Drosophila melanogaster: one gene and its partners. The protein of the gene in region 1 interacts with the protein of each later gene in a pairwise test. Each region holds a gene or a part of one and is shown in the gene's direction. Other genes may lie near its edges. The genes, in order: Nnf1a, Mob2, CG12995 and CG6470.

Region 1 (3,246 bases):
TTTAAATTTTTAAGCAATACTATTTACAATTTGTTTGCTGACCAATTTGGAACTCAACACATTTACGTGAGAATTCAGTTCAATGTCAACGAACGCGTGCAAATAGCCGCGAAATATCTTTGGAATTGCTTCACTCGAAATAAACGCTAGAAACAAACGAAAAATACCTCGGCCAAAAAAGGCAAATAAAAGCGAATTTTTTCGCAAAACTGGAAATCTAAACAGAGACAAAGGAGATTCGTCACAATCGCCAAAGAACGAAAAGCAAAAGTTGCAGAATTGCTGAGAAGATTTGCAGACGGAAGAAGAAGAGAGCTGTTGTTAAAAAGCTGCAAATGCCAATGGGTTAATGAGGGGGAGGGGGGCAAAGAGAAAAGAAGAGGAGCAATGAAGAGAGGGGGGAGGCAAGTAGGTGGTAATAAGCTGCACCCAACCAACAAGCGAAACAACAACAGTTAGCTTCCATTTGTATTTTTCTCTCTCATTAGCCTCTCTTCGCCATTTCCTCTGCCTCTCCGTTTTCTACGTACCTCATCGATTGATGCTAAAAACTATGAATAAAATATAGGTTAGGCCTTTTCCTTATTTGTAAAAAGCCAACGAGCGTTGAACTCGTCTTGTAGCGTGGGAGTTTTGCTTTCGGAACAACGAAACTATTTTGTTTTGATTTTATCTCAGCGAATTATAATGAAATTTATGCACCGGTGTAACCGCGTGGAGATAAAAGAAAAAGGGAAGCAACGAAACGAAAAGAAAAGAAAAAACAGCAAATGTGAAAAACAAAACAAGCGACTAAAGCGATGGGCCAATTATAAAAACAACAACTATGCGACTCTGTACTTTAAGTAAAAGCCGGCATGCGTGCGAGCAAGCGAGAGAGGCAGAGAGAACAGGGCGGCAGAGCGAGAGAGAGCTAGGAATATTTCTGTGTGCCCTGGTGGTTGTAATAAAATGAAAGGAAGAAAAACTGTAAAACTCAAGCGCCGAAGCCAAAAGAACGATTTTGGGGGTGTAGTTAAAAATCACACTATATTGCTATAAAAAATCGGCATGTATTGGCGAATCTTTTTCTTAGAAATGTATTCAGGAAAACACAAGACCACACAACACACACACACATTGCTTTTAGCCTGGTTTATTTGCCTCGCAAATTCGCTTTTCATTCGCGTTTCCCCAGGCAAAAGATAAAAAAAAACTGTAGAAGAAAAACTCACCTATCGGGATGCCTTTGTTTTCCTTCAGCTACGAAGACTTTGATGCCACCGAACTTAATCACTTAACTTTCAATTGGTATTCAACACGATTTTGTCCGCCACTAAACACTGGCTGGTAAAATATTATTCAAAATATGTATAGCACAAACACACTAGAGCTGAGTTAAAATGCACAAAAGTTAGAGAGGAATTGGAAAATGGCGTATCACCCTGTCATCGATACCTGGACTATCGATATATGATGGTTGAAAACGGTGGTTTAACACTTATTCTTAAAAATACTGTTCGGTGGTATTTATTCATTTTGTTTGACATTGTAATGTAAAAGGCACATATTCTCACCATACCGCTGAATGAAATATATTTATATTTTCAACATCACTTATGTTACAAGGGACTTATGAGTAATAAGAGCTAGTGGAAATACCTCAAAAAAAAACCAATAACAGGGTTGTCACCATACTCTATAATTTCTATCGGCCTGGTGTTTTGCAGAAACTTGCAACTGGTCACACCAATGTGGCATTGTTTTGTTTTGTTTACAATTTGAATTTACTAACAAATTATTTCAATGGAGGATTCGGAAGCCGCATTTAAACGCCACGAGGGTGTGGGACCAAAGGTGAAACAGGCCTACGAGGAAGCCATTAAACAAATCTTTGCCGACTTGAGGTAAGCAGCAGGCATAGTTAACATGATAACGAATATTAAAAATCGTTAATATCTAGCTGCGCAGATCTGCAAGCGTGGGATGCCATTTACCAGGAGCACGAGCAATCCGCTCTGGACACCGAAAGCATCGTAGATCGCACTCGCAGTCTGATGACCAAGGTTGTGCTCGAAATGAACCGATGCTTTTTCGCCAGCAACGATGTGCCAAATAAGTTGCAAACTTTGGAAATGCTCAAGGAACATTTCGCTGCCTACGAGGGCAAGAAATGGTACATGTGCAGCATAAAACATAATACGATTCGATTGCATTGCTAACTCTACTCTACTCTATTGTAATCTATAGGAACGTGAACACTGCAGCACCCGATAAACTCACTCGGCCGCTGCGCATGCGATTTTTGGACTTCAGCGTGGAATTCATGGAGCAGCAACTGGCCTCTCAGGCAAAAGAACTTGAGGTGCGATTTGGATATTAGTTAATCTTTGTACTATTACTGCACTGTTTTGAGTGTACCAAAAGATCCCTAAAGTTAAAGAACCTTCGAGAAGATTTTTAGTTTAATAATTTCATTTCTATAGTTTATCATTTGCATATACATATGTACATATCTAGGTTTGTTATTCTATCAGTATAACTAACATTTGTTTATATTTCAATTACAGATTGCTATGGCCAAGAGCAATGCCAATCGCGAGCGACTCCAACATGTCCATGACAAGCGCCTGAAATTGACTGTCCAAATGGAGCAGCAATTGTCGCAGTACGAGAAAGTTAAGACAGAACTTATTAAACTAGGCGAAGCATTGAACGACTTCTGACAAACTTAAATGCAATAAATAAATAAAATACTACGCTATGAGCTTAATGATTTGAGTGGGGGGTCTTAAAATGGAAATTCATACAAACTAATCTGCATATTCATTAATGTACATACATATGTATGTACACATGCATTTGTCATTGACATTCACAATTTATTTAAATTCGTATCATTGCAATAAGCTCATAATATTAACGAGCAATTGTTTGTATTGGCGACAAAAAATCTTTTAAAATTGAATGTATATACATACATTTCAAGTTATCTCTATAAAGAATACGATAAATAGTACGAAGTTTTTAGCTAAACATGTGTAAACTTATGTATGTATGCATGTGTTTTTTGAGTGATTTCTTAGAATCGCTGTGTGCTTACACACTCCCATACATACATACTTGATTGCGTAGTATAAATCAAAGGAATGGTATTAGTGTAAAAAAGAACCGAATTTTTGCTAGATCTTCCTCAAAAAGTAACTAATAATATACATTTAAAGATGTTTTTTAAAAGATTCGTTTTAATTTCCCTTGTGAGACTGC
Region 2 (4,701 bases), on another chromosome or scaffold:
AGTGTGGATGAAATTTTGATGTGGTGCAAATGAACTTGCCGCCGTTTCGGTTGCATTGCGGGCGGTCACAGGTGCGCGTTCTCTGCTGCCAAGATTCCTTTTCCTCTATCCGCTTCTCACCTTTTCGCCCCAGTCGTATTTGTTCTTGTTTTTCTTCAGCTCGTCAATGGACAGCTGTTTTGAGATACACTCGAAAAAAAGTGTATTAATGCAATTGTCTAGTAAATTTAAAAATATAAAATAAGTTTATGTGGGTTGGTACTGTTGTGTTTTTGTTAATCATTCTTTTTAGTTATTCGCTTAATGAATACCACACATGTCGGTCCAAATTTATCTAAGTGCATTGCGTGTTCCTGTTTTCAACTTTATTTACGCAGAATGACGATGCGTTTATATTATGTTTTCTTATTCGGGTCTAGATTCTGTGTAAGTTAGGCAGCAAATGCAGTTCCTGTGTTCTTCGGTTTTCGTCTACCGCTCCATTCTATTTGATTACTGATTTTATTTCTTCCTGGCCGAAAAAGAGCGTGATAATTACTCCCTGTGGAGAGATTTGATGGTCAGAGGAGTAGCTATTTCATGCGGGCTTGGGGTCACTTCATTGATAAGAACCACGTAGCTGGAGGTCCTTACCATCGAGAATAACAAATTGGAATATATCTTTAATTCTTTATTTTCTGTTTTCCTTTCAGGTGAGTGAAATATCTTGAGCATGAGCTTACCCAAATCCCAGGTAATTTGTTTAAGTCAATTAGAGCAGTCATTTTAACTGAGAAAAAAATTATAACATGCTTAGAGTATTAAACGTATTAAATAAATGTTTAGCGCTTTAACAAAACTCTATGATGTTTTAGTTGAACAGATTGTTATCAAGCCAATTAGTGTTCTTGGTAAAAGTACATAAGTGATGTGATGTTTGCGTCAATTGTACGAAATTGTGTTAGCCATTAAATTTGCCGAATTTATTTCGTTTACCTGTGATCATTAAAACCATGTGTTAATGAATCAACAATGGCAATATATTTATGAGAAATCCATTTAAATGTTTCATACGAACGGTACAATTATCCCTTTTCGTGGAAAATTAATTTCTAATTGTTATTTATAGAGTTTATCCTAGGTTTGTTCAATGCGTTAAAAAAGTAGTAGATTCTGCTACTATTCTACTGCCACTTTGCCGTGTTCTCTTGTTACCGAGCTGTGTGGCAACGCCAGCGCAGTCAGCTGCTGAGCATCAAAACATGAGCGCTCAGCTGATGCGAGAGAGCGTAGAAGAGAGAGGGCTAAAGCCAAAGCAGTCAAACAAGTGGTCGAAAACCGTATAGATGTGCGTGTCTCGCTTGAGTGGCGCATTTGTATGCAAAACACGTACACGGGCAGCTCTCTCCCGCTCAGCTGGTATTTGATACCTCTAGCTCTCTTCCTCGCGCTCGAGCGGAGAGCAAATGTTGCTGGTGTGCGAGACAGCAGCAACATCAGCAGCAACAATAACAACAACAGCAACCACTTCATCTTTACTGTGTGCTCTGCTTTCGTTGCCAGTTTTGTGTTTTTGCTTTTGCTGCCTTTTTTCTCTCCTTACTTGCGTGAGTGTTGATGTTGCCGCTGTGTGTTGCTGTTGTTGCCGCTGTGTATGTGTATGTGTTGCTGTTGCCAGCCGAACGAGCAGCAGTCAGTCAAAGACGGACGGCTTGGCTCAGTGTAGAAATTTCCTTTGGCACGCTTGGTCGCTCGAGCGGTTGCAGGTCGTCGTCAATAGTGGACTGTTGATGTCGCCGCGTCATTATTTGACATTGTTTTTCGAGGCGCCGCCGTCGGTTGCAACCACACATCATCGCGTCGCAGTTAAAAGCAAAACAGCAACTCCAGCAGCAAGCAGCGCAACATTTGCAACATCAATTGCCACCGTGAAATGCTATGCTAGATTGTGAAATAAAATCGCCTACCAATACAAACTAATATCCCGAAAAGGGGAACAAATGTAAGCCGAAAAGGAGTCTGTTCTCCAACAAAAAAAAAAAGAAAGAAAGAAAAGAAGTTCTTCTCTGTGTGTGTGCTAGTGTTTTCCCGTGCTGGTGTGAAACTGTGTCATTCGCTGCGAAAAACTGCATTCAAGTTTTTCCTCAGAGCCGCGACTGCTGGCGTGTTATTGTTGCTGTTGCAGCTAGCTGCCACGGTTTGTTGCTTCACTGATTACGCGCAATGCAGCAACAGCAGCAGCAGCAGAAGCAACAGCAACTAACTGCAGAGGAGCAATAGCAGCTGAGAGTTCAGTTGCGAAACCGGCGAAGCGCGACTGTTGCCAATGCAGCGCTTAGAATTGGCACACCAGCAACAACTGCAACGCTGCAGCAAAGCTGCTACTCCAGCGTCAGCAACAACAACGGTACATTGGGCATTCACAATGTTGCTTGGTGTGCCACTGCCACTGCCACTCCACCACTACTTGTTCCTCCACTGCCATATTGTTTTAACCACTTCCTTTGCCGCAGCGGCAGGAACTTCCTTCCTCACGAGCTTCCTGTCTGTTCGTCCGCTTGTCTGGTTGTCTGCCCTGCAACCCTCAACCCTCCCTTATTAACGCCCCCTCACACTCAACTGCATTGTCAGGTGTTTTCTCTGCCACACAGAAAGAAATGGGGGTATTGTTAGGGTTCATTTGACAGTTTTCACAAGAATTATTTAAAGATAGGTTTTTATGGAATATATCCTTATTCAAACTGCCTTTAAATACCTTCTAAAAATAAAAAGAGTGAAAATCTTAAAATAATGATATATCTTATTGGGCCTAGAGTATTTCCTCTTTTTTCCGTGCACATCCTGGTTGCGTTGTTTCTACTTTTTGTCAACCCCGTTGACGCGCCTACGTGTTCAATACGCTGAGAAAACAACAGTTACGAGTGGCTCAACCAGCAGCTTGTTATTTCTCACACCTTTCGTCCAGACCCCCCGCGCCTTCCTACCACTGCCCCTCGCCAACCCTTTGGGTCCTCAAATGCGCTAGGCCATCCATCGATTTTTTGAGGTCATGCTAAAAATTGCAAAGCCAACTGGAACTAGTTGCGGATTCCCATAGTTGAATTGCCATGGACAATTTGCGGAAGGCAGAGGAAATGAAATTGATTCAAGCCTTTGTGGTGCGATATTATCTAACCGAATTCGATTCGTTTTCTGTGTAGGCCCTTCTGTGTTGCGGATGTTAAGGATTTATGTAAGCTCAGGAACTAATTAGGAAGAAGCACTATGATATTTATCCAAACTAACAATTTTAGTTCGATATATAATGGTATAGAAAAGTATCTATGTACTATTTGCGATTGAACGTTTTGCCCCCGTTATGAAACACTTTTCTCACGGTATTTCCCCATTAAGCAATTCCAGCAAAATCGTATAGATACTAATTTAGTAACTCAGCAATCGCATTTAATCGAATTCATACATATGCATTTCGGTTCTATTGGGACTGTTTTCATTCGACGTGTATCTCAATCGATCGTTTAACCCATATGAAAAGGATAGTCACAGTTATAAACGCTGTCGGATGAATCTCTGGTAACTGGGTTAGTTAGCGACCCGAAAACTTCTCTGCGCCTTTCCGCCGAACCGTTATGCCATATGTATGTATGTATGATGCTCTGCCTGCCCGCCGGTCAGCTCTTCCAGACCAAACCAAACCAAAATGAAGCGAACAGAACAGAACAACCCAAACCAGCTCGAAGATATATATGGATGGGTTTTGTACGGCTTGGCATGGGGTTTGGTGGTGGGGGTACGGAGATACACCTATCTACTATGTATATCATGTCATCCATTGCATGTGCATCGCACATCTCACGTCACCGTACCGCTGCACAGCTTCTATCTCCCTTTCCATATCTGCTGTCGTCTTCCTGCTCGTCGTTTGCCAGTTGTGGAACTCGTTTTCATTTCTTTCGTTAGCAGACATAGACATAATTCTCCAGCTTTTCTAGCGAGCAAAGGGGGTGGGGGTTCATTTTCGGTTTCGGTTTCTATTTTTTTTTTCTCTCTTTCGACTTTGCCAATCGCTCATTTGACCTTTAACGGGTTGTGCTGCATATACATGAAAAGCACACTCAAATCGGCAACAATTAAGCTCATTCAAAACGCGAGCAATGGGCAATCTAAGAAAAAAAAAACACTCGCCGTCGCGTTGCTAGAATCACATCATAAATTTCGGTTTTGATGGGGCGCCAGTTGTTCTGTGTGCGGAGGTGTGAAAACGATACTAGAAGGGGGGCGCACAAAAGACAAAACTCGTTTGGGGGGAAAAGACAACAGAGTCAGCAAATTGGCTTCAATGCGAGTTGAAGGTTAAGTGCGACAGCGACGCGGAAATTGAACATTTTGGATATTGGAATCAGTAGCTGGTTTCGAGCTGAATAAACAAAACAATAGGCATTAACCCCTTTTCTGTCATCTTTCGATTTTTCGTACTTTTTTTTTAGCACGCACTTCAGACCATTTTATTGGCTTCCTAGTATTGTCTGCAAGCAATTAAAAGTTTTTGCTTTAAGCTGCACAAAGAGTTTCATGAGAAATTTGGGATATTAGTTTCGTAAAGTTAAAATTTAAAAGCACAAAAAATATAAAAAATACTAACAGAACGAATTAGTTTTACATTGAAGAAAGAGGATCTTCATATCAATAGAAAATCAAAGATCGAAATGTACAGGGTACCTC
Region 3 (3,152 bases), on another chromosome or scaffold:
AAAAAGCAAAAAATACAAAATTATGACAAGAGGTATTCGAGTGGCTCAACTATGAAATAGTTCGAGGAAAACACGTATCCATGGTCGAAAAACTTTCGTCTACCTGTTTCATACTTTCTAACGAAACTAGTATACCCCCTTTCTCAAAGACTAAGGGGTATCAAAATTAAACACAAAACAAGCGGTGCTATTACATTGGTAATTTGTGAGCCCGACTGGTGGTGTTGCTGCTGCTGTTCGTTGATGTTGCCGGCACGCAACCCGCCAGAAACTAGCAACTATTAACCAGCAACTAGCAACCAGCAACATGGAATAAACAGCGGCAATCAGAAGCGCCAATAGCCCAAATGCGAGTGCTTCCAGTTGGCCATTTGGATGGTGGATTCACAGATTAATACTGCCCAATTATTCACACTGGCCGACTTCGAAGAAATGCCGAGCTACACCCAAAGAAAATACCCAATAAATGTCAATCCTAATGGGATAGTATAATATACCATAGAAGCAACTAACCATTTAAAAAATTAATTTTTTAATTATTGTGATAAAATAAATATTTATCAGTTGTTTCATTTAATATTTATAGTTTTCAAAATATAATATTCTCTCTACTTCCTGGGCTTTTTTCAGCTTATATTCTCAGATGTCTTTCGATAAAGTTTTGTTACTAGTATTATTTGTTGATTGATATTTTCTTGACTTTTTTTACTGATTCATATATTATTATTCATTTAATGAGAGCAGCCGAACTTCGCTACAAACCGATTTTCTTAGTTTTTGGAAATTTATTCGCACATAGCGCGCTGAATTGACGGCAAATGTTTATATGTACATCGGTAACGGTTTTGTTTCGCTTTTCCACCTTTTGCAATCTTCCAGGCACTCGTGCTCCATATATGGAGTATATAGCACCCATATCTTGTTGGGAATGGGAATATTGGTGAGTATGTCAGACGCATGGAGCTGTGGGTTTTTTTAAAAACTACTGGCGATCGAGCGCGGACTTCTCGCTCTGCTGGCTTCTTGTGCTTTTAATTGCAGTAGAGAGACTCATGAAATCGAAATCAATTCAGATTGCTCTATATCCATTAGACTATAATTTGGAGTTAGTTTGAGTTATAGATTTATGTAAGACTCGCTGATGATAAGTTAAGAGAGAAATATATAAAATAAAAGACTTGATAAACGGATGCTGTTCTTAGAGAATATTTTTGGCAATGTATTTAAATCCTTTTCGTGATTTAATAAATTTGCGAAATATGTTTCAAATAAGTTTGTACTCTACATCTTTGACTATTTTATATTTATCAAATATAAAAGTACCTATCCAAACAGTTTCTCAATGAGTTAAGTGCACTTTTTGGCCACTTTGCACAATGGACACATCTCACTGCATTGTTTGGCCCGATAAATATACACCTTCAACTCACATACTCGTATATGTGAATGACTCTTTATATTTGCCATTCTACTTCCACTATTTGCTGTTGATAAACCCAATTAGTTGGCCTGTGCCAAAAATCTAGCGAGCTTCCGCCTTAAGTGCAAATAGGCGGAGGGTTAAGGCCCACAGGGATGCCACAGATGACGCAATATGGTCCATATACCGAGAACGGGCCTAATGGCCAAAAAGCCAAAAAATAATTGAGAAGACCAAAATTATTACGTATACGCACCATTGCAACAGGCTTTTCAATGGCCCCGCCACTTAGACGTCGACGTAATGCGGAGTAAGTGCAGCAAATTATCAGCTCCAGCCGAACGAGCGGCCAGCAGGCAGATGTCCGTTGCAACATTTTTTTTTTTCTGTGTTTTTCGCTTTTAGCCAAACAAAACAAAAGACTGTGTGCAAAAGTCGACGGAAAATGCAGGAAAATGCGGCATGTATTTGCGGTCGAATGTGAGTGCTCCGAGCATATAAAATCCAATGCAGTTGGTAGCAGTAAATTAGTTGACTCGAAACATTTCGCCGCGTCGGTTAAAACACTTCTACCACATCCAACCATGTTCACCTATCGCCTGAAACTGATGATCCTTCTGGGTCAGCTGCTGCTAGGCATCCAATGTTATCCTTTGGGGGATGATGTGTCCTCCAATGCAGTGGTCCATTCGGCGGGACTTTTGGGCCACTACGCCGGCGGTCTGACTGGCGGCGAGGCCTTGTCCAAGCTGGACTTCAGCTCATCTTCGCACGAATTCGGAGCCTCCGCGGAGGCGGATCACTTGGGCTCCCTCGGCGATCACCTGGGCGAGGAGAGCTTCCCGTCAGATTACGGCAGCAGCGATGCCGGCGAGGAGTACGCCGAGGCCAGCGAGTTGCACTCCCACTACGAGGACCACAAGGCTGTGCCCGGCATCGATCATGGCAAGGGCGCCTTCAGCTACAGCACCCTGTACGAGTTCAAGGATCGGGATGAGCACGAACTGCACCACATCCAGCACCAGGCACTCGAACAGCAGGTGGAGCACCAGGCGGAGCACGACCACCACCTGGCGGAGCACCACCAGCTGGAACATCTCTACTAAGACTGTGATAGTCGCACACAAGACCTATCAAAATGCTCAAAGATTATATTATTATAAAAGTGTTTTTTTTTTAACGATTATTAAAATAAATGTAAGTTAAATTGAATTGAAAAGCTCTCTTGGGGGCACAACCTATAAATAAATATGGTCAAGTATTTATGAAAATTTAAATAAGTTAAAAAGATGTCCTGGATTTTAATTAATTACAAAATCTGCATGTTTAAAAATGTTACATATTTAAAAATTGTGTTTTTGGCACACATATAAATATTGTCCATGCATTCGTCAACCTTAAAAACCAATATATTTTATAGCAATTTTATTGAATAATAAATTGAAAACAAACAAAAAAAAACTTAACTTAAAGTAATAAGACCGCCGAAAAGTAGTTATTTATGATAGTTTATAAATTGTTTCGCAATGAACCCATTTAGCGGCCGTGGGAGTGGACAACTTGATGCTGGGGCAATTTGAGTTGCGAAAAGTCCACATTATCATTGACCACGATGCGGGGTTCGTGGATCGAAGGTATCGAAGGTATCGATGGAATCGATGGAATCACTGAATGTGGCAAATGCGATGCGGTCAAGGTGTCCACATAGTAATGCGGCCAGGGATTTCCCAGT
Region 4 (4,537 bases), on another chromosome or scaffold:
TTACAAGGCTACAGATTTGAACAATAGGAATAAGTGCAGTTGGTGGTAAGCGTTGTTGCAAATGCCTCATAGCCCAAATCACATGTTGCAGTCGTCAAGTCTTGGATCGGTTGATTGTGGTCTAGCAGGTTTTTGATATAATCGCTATAACCACCATGTGCCTTTTGTACATGCCTCCTGTTTGACCAGTCGCTCTCTTTTCAGTCAGTCAGTCGGTCATAGAGCACTCACTTTGGTGATGCAAATCCAGCTATTAGTCTCATTTAGCTACTTGACTTTAATTAAATCTAAATCTAAAATTATGAAATTAAATCTTTTTTCGATTACTGAACATGCAAGCTTCAACTTCAAATCTGAAAGATATCCTAAGTATCCCAATTGGATTATTTAATACCTGTACAATACTTGTTCTAATTGGACAGCGTCTAGAACATCAAAGAGTACAGGAAAAATCACTTTAAGGTCTTATTAACACAAAAGATTATTGAGTTTTCTAGAAGTCTCCAACTGTTTTCAGCACAGTTTCAAGGAAATCCAGCCAAAGATTTGAAGTGAGCATCAGTAGACTTACATCAGCAAGAGATTAATATAAACAATTGCTTCTATTAGTCACAGCTTCGGACAGCACTGCTAATTTAAGCTACTTTCCAGCCAAATAGTCGGGACAATAGTTTGGCATCACTGTGCACAACACTAACACACACGCACACAGAAGCAGTGCATTTGCCGTTGGCCAGAGCGAGACAACAATAACAACAGAGTGGCACGAATGTGCGAATGCGAATGTAAATGTGAAAGTCTGCGCGCTCCTTTAATTTGCCGTTTTTCCTTTGCACCGCTCTTCCGATGTTACATTCATCTAATTATTACACTGCAAAAACGAAGATTTCGAACAACTCCAAATGCCAGCGCAGCATGTGTGTGTTTTTTGTTATTTCCCTTATTCTCAACTGCATGACGATCTGATGAAATATGTATGCGAGTGGGATTTCGAATTTGATGACGAAAGCAGGGCCGGGAATTACGGCAACAATTGCACTTATTCCATTGTACACACACAAAGGGGGATGACACTGGAAGGCGGACGCGTTGCTGACGGGTGGGGGGGTTGGATGGTGGAAGTGGTAGTGCTGGGTGGAGGGAGGGAGTCGGTTTCCAACTGGAAGTACGACCAAAAACTGACCTTCTCCTTCGACTCCTTCGCTGCTTTCAATTGACGGACGAGATCGCCTTGCACTTTGATTTGCTCCAGAATCTGCTCACGCGTATCACTCATATTCCGTGCTCGATGGCCAAAAATGAAAAACGGCAAACGGTTGACAGTCCACTGCAAAAGGCGGGCGCGCGGCGTTTCAATCGTCTCGAATCGACACGGCGATTTATGCTGTCTTTTCCAGCTTTCAGCTGCTTTTTCTGCGCTGCTGGCCAAAAAAAAAATTCGCACGCGGTGGTCAATGTGACCGTTCGTCGCGTGGTGGGAAAACGTGCGCTAGTGCGAACTCAAACCGTGGTTGATAACTGGGCTGGCGGACATGTAAAGTGTATAATTTATAATTTATTAACAACAATCAACACACGAATGCTGGCCACTGTTAGTAATATTAACTGCACTACAATTTATTAGCTAATTTTATCGTTTTTTTTTTTTTTTAAATAAAAATGTTCATGTCACTTGATTGCGTAAAGTTGATCTTGTTTGTTTTTTGTTTTAAACAAGTTCAAATAAGTTAAAATAAGTTGATTCGATTACAGCACAAACTTATCTATCCTAAAATCATTAAATAGAATATTTTTTGTCAAAACTACATATATTACAAATCATCAATTAAAAAAAATATATTTTTTTTTAAATAGCAAATCCTGAAATATTTTAAGAAGCGTTTTTTGTTTAAATTGTTGTTTATTGTTAAATTGTTTAAAAATCGAAAAATTCGAAATGAAATATAAGATTGGAAAAATGTTTTTTACTTCAACATTTAAAATTTCCCTGCCCAGCAGGCGATGTGCTTAGTTTCATTGGTATATATTTAAGCATCACCCTTAGATTCAGTATTCCTTCGACACCGACTGACTACAAACTGAAATTAAAAAAATAGCATTGAAAATTAATAAGACACGCTACACATACACAAACACACACGCACACCACACACGAGATGAACAAGCCGCAAAAGCCCATCAAGGTGAAGCGCGCCAAGCGGACCGGATGCTCCAGGATTCAGCCGCAGGAATTCGTGGAGGCTCAGGTGGAGAACGCGCGCAGGGCGGTGGAGCGCAAGCTGATCTACCTGTCCGAGTCGAACAGAGCCAGTGCATCCACTCGGGCGGCCAAGCGAAGCACGGCTGGCGCAGGCGGAGGAGCAGGGCGGGAAGGATCGAGCATGGCTGGCCATGCCCATGGTGAGCGTCGCAGGCGCAGCAAGAGGAGTCTGCTACACGCTCCAGCTCAGGAAGAGACCGACGAGGAGGAGAGTTCGCCGCTGGAGAAGACGAACAACTACGATAACAGAAGACGCAGCAGTTGCAATCGTAAGTTACAAATACATTTGCATATCGTCGATTTGGGATGCACCTTTCTATATGATCTTGGGTATTATTCAAGCTAGAGACACCAAATTTGGTATACAATACGTTATTGGTTATTAGAACTCTTTAAAATCTTGAAACAGCAGTATATATTTATCATCATTACATATATCATCTACTTAAGACCCTTCTTTCTATATGATCTTGGTGCTTAGTTAGGCAAGAGACACCAAATTTGGTGTACAGTACTTTATTGGTTTATTATACTCATATAAATCACGAAACATAAGTTTCAAGTGCAATTTATTTTAAAACAACGATTACAATTGTAGGTTATTAAATATAATCGATTTGGACACCTGTTATCTATATGATCTTGGGCCTTATTAAAGCTACTAACACCAAATTTGGTATATAGTACTTAACTGATTAATATAGTATATTAAAAGTGATATTAATTTAAGATCTCATATTGAGTTAACCAATTCTCCATTCTCCATTCTCCAACAGTATTGCTATCTCCTCGTCGCAATGGCCTCACGCCCCGGAACTACGAGGCCGAGGCCGAGGCAGCGGAAATGGAAGCCATTATGGCCGCACAGCAAGCCTCCAACGGAACGACGAAGCCCGATCATGATGAAGGAGATGGCGGGGAGTATCAGGGCGGACCGTTTGGCCGACTGCAGCTGAAGCCGCTGGGCAGCTATGCCACGGACCAGCAGCTGCCCAGCTACTCGTGCGGCGTGTGCGGTGCCAAGTTTCACATCCGATCGCTGCTGGGCGCCCACCGGCACACCCACGACGATGACTTCAAGGTGCGCTTCCGTGCACGGCGACCGCGGGAGAGCAGAACCACCCTGACCACCGTCCATTTGTGCAAGTACTGCGATCGCTCCTTCGACCTGGAACGCACGCTGCACATCCATCTGCTGAGCTACTGCAAGAAGATACCGCCGCAGCAGCGCCGCAAGCTGGCCTTCACGGAACTGGCGCACGAGAAGAAGGCGCCGTTGCCCAACTTTCAGCGGGCGCAGCAGCCGGTTCACCACCAGGGAAACAGTGCCACCAACCAGCAGGATCAGATGACCCAGCAGGAAAAACTTCAGAAGATTATCATGCGCGAGTCGGCAGTGCACGAGCGCTGGCGCTAGTCGTCCTCATTACCAATCTTCACCAGAAACTGGATGCAGAACCAACGCTTGCTTCCAAACACCAGAAGAATCCATTGAAACGAAAGGAAAATTGTCAAGTGCAGGGCGTATGCAGCTCAACTGTATTTGATTTGTTTACCAGGATCATCAAAATTTGTGGAATTGAAGGCAAAATTATTAGAAGTATGAATTGAGCACAATGACACGATTAGTGGGAGACTCACCTGTTCTGAAGACCGAAACACACACTGGCGTTGAATAGTCACATTCCACAAACGACGGTCAATTAAAACTAAATTAAGAGTCCCCAGCACGTTGATGCAAATGTATTGAATATAATTAAATATTTGAACTAAACAGAAGATTTACTTGCAATGAATTGTCATTTCTTAGATACTTGGCGGAAAGGTAAAAGAATCATAATCCATTGAGGCTTTAAAAGCATAATAAGATACTAAAATGGGTATATATATTTTTAAATTTATCGAAAAAATCGATGAGAAATCGCTTCCTCTCTAGTCCACTATCTAATATGTAAAGAAGAATGATATCGATGTATTACAGAAGCGCTTCGATACCCAGCTCGAGCAATCGATACGATAGCTGTGCATCGATACATTCGCTCAATGAAGCTGACTGCACGCACGTCCGTTGCGTCACCGGCGCTACCTTGCCTTACCGTTTACCGTTCACCGTTCACCGTTCCGTTCCGTGCCGAGCTTTGGCGGTCAAGCTCAAAGTTTCTGTGCGCTATCTCTTTCGCGCTTGCGGCGGCGGCGGTGGCGTTGGCGGTAGTGGGTCGTGTGCAGGGAATACAAGATAGGCGATGAGCGGCAACTCGGGCGGATCGAAGCCATCAG

What was found.
Region 2: the proteins of Nnf1a (region 1) and Mob2 interact in a two-hybrid assay, tested with the Drosophila melanogaster proteins (one large-scale study listed by BioGRID).
Region 3: the proteins of Nnf1a (region 1) and CG12995 interact in a two-hybrid assay, tested with the Drosophila melanogaster proteins (one large-scale study listed by BioGRID).
Region 4: the proteins of Nnf1a (region 1) and CG6470 interact in a two-hybrid assay, tested with the Drosophila melanogaster proteins (one large-scale study listed by BioGRID).

The regions. Positions count from the first base shown.
Region 1 is NT_033778.4:20,585,713-20,588,958, reverse strand, and holds Nnf1a (Nnf1a), read left to right. Parts: upstream 1-1,720; 5' UTR 1,721-1,785; coding exon 1,786-1,886; intron 1,887-1,942; coding exon 1,943-2,155; intron 2,156-2,229; coding exon 2,230-2,344; intron 2,345-2,549; coding exon 2,550-2,705; 3' UTR 2,706-2,737; downstream 2,738-3,246.
Region 2 is NT_037436.4:11,550,110-11,554,810, reverse strand, and holds the start of Mob2 (Mob2), read left to right. Parts: upstream 1-1,698; 5' UTR 1,699-1,981; intron 1,982-2,117; exon of another isoform or gene 2,118-2,272; intron 2,273-4,701. UniProt on the Drosophila melanogaster protein: Required for the normal morphogenesis of a variety of polarized outgrowths including epidermal hairs, bristles, arista laterals, and dendrites.
Region 3 is NC_004354.4:17,208,814-17,211,965, reverse strand, and holds CG12995 (uncharacterized protein), read left to right. Parts: upstream 1-1,968; 5' UTR 1,969-2,004; coding exon 2,005-2,526; 3' UTR 2,527-2,598; downstream 2,599-3,152. Other genes in the region: CG32563 (uncharacterized protein), read right to left, coding at 2,957-3,152.
Region 4 is NC_004354.4:18,512,329-18,516,865, reverse strand, and holds CG6470 (uncharacterized protein), read left to right. Parts: upstream 1-1,998; 5' UTR 1,999-2,156; coding exon 2,157-2,529; intron 2,530-3,036; coding exon 3,037-3,677; 3' UTR 3,678-4,037; downstream 4,038-4,537. Other genes in the region: HisRS (Histidyl-tRNA synthetase), read right to left, coding at 1,184-1,276.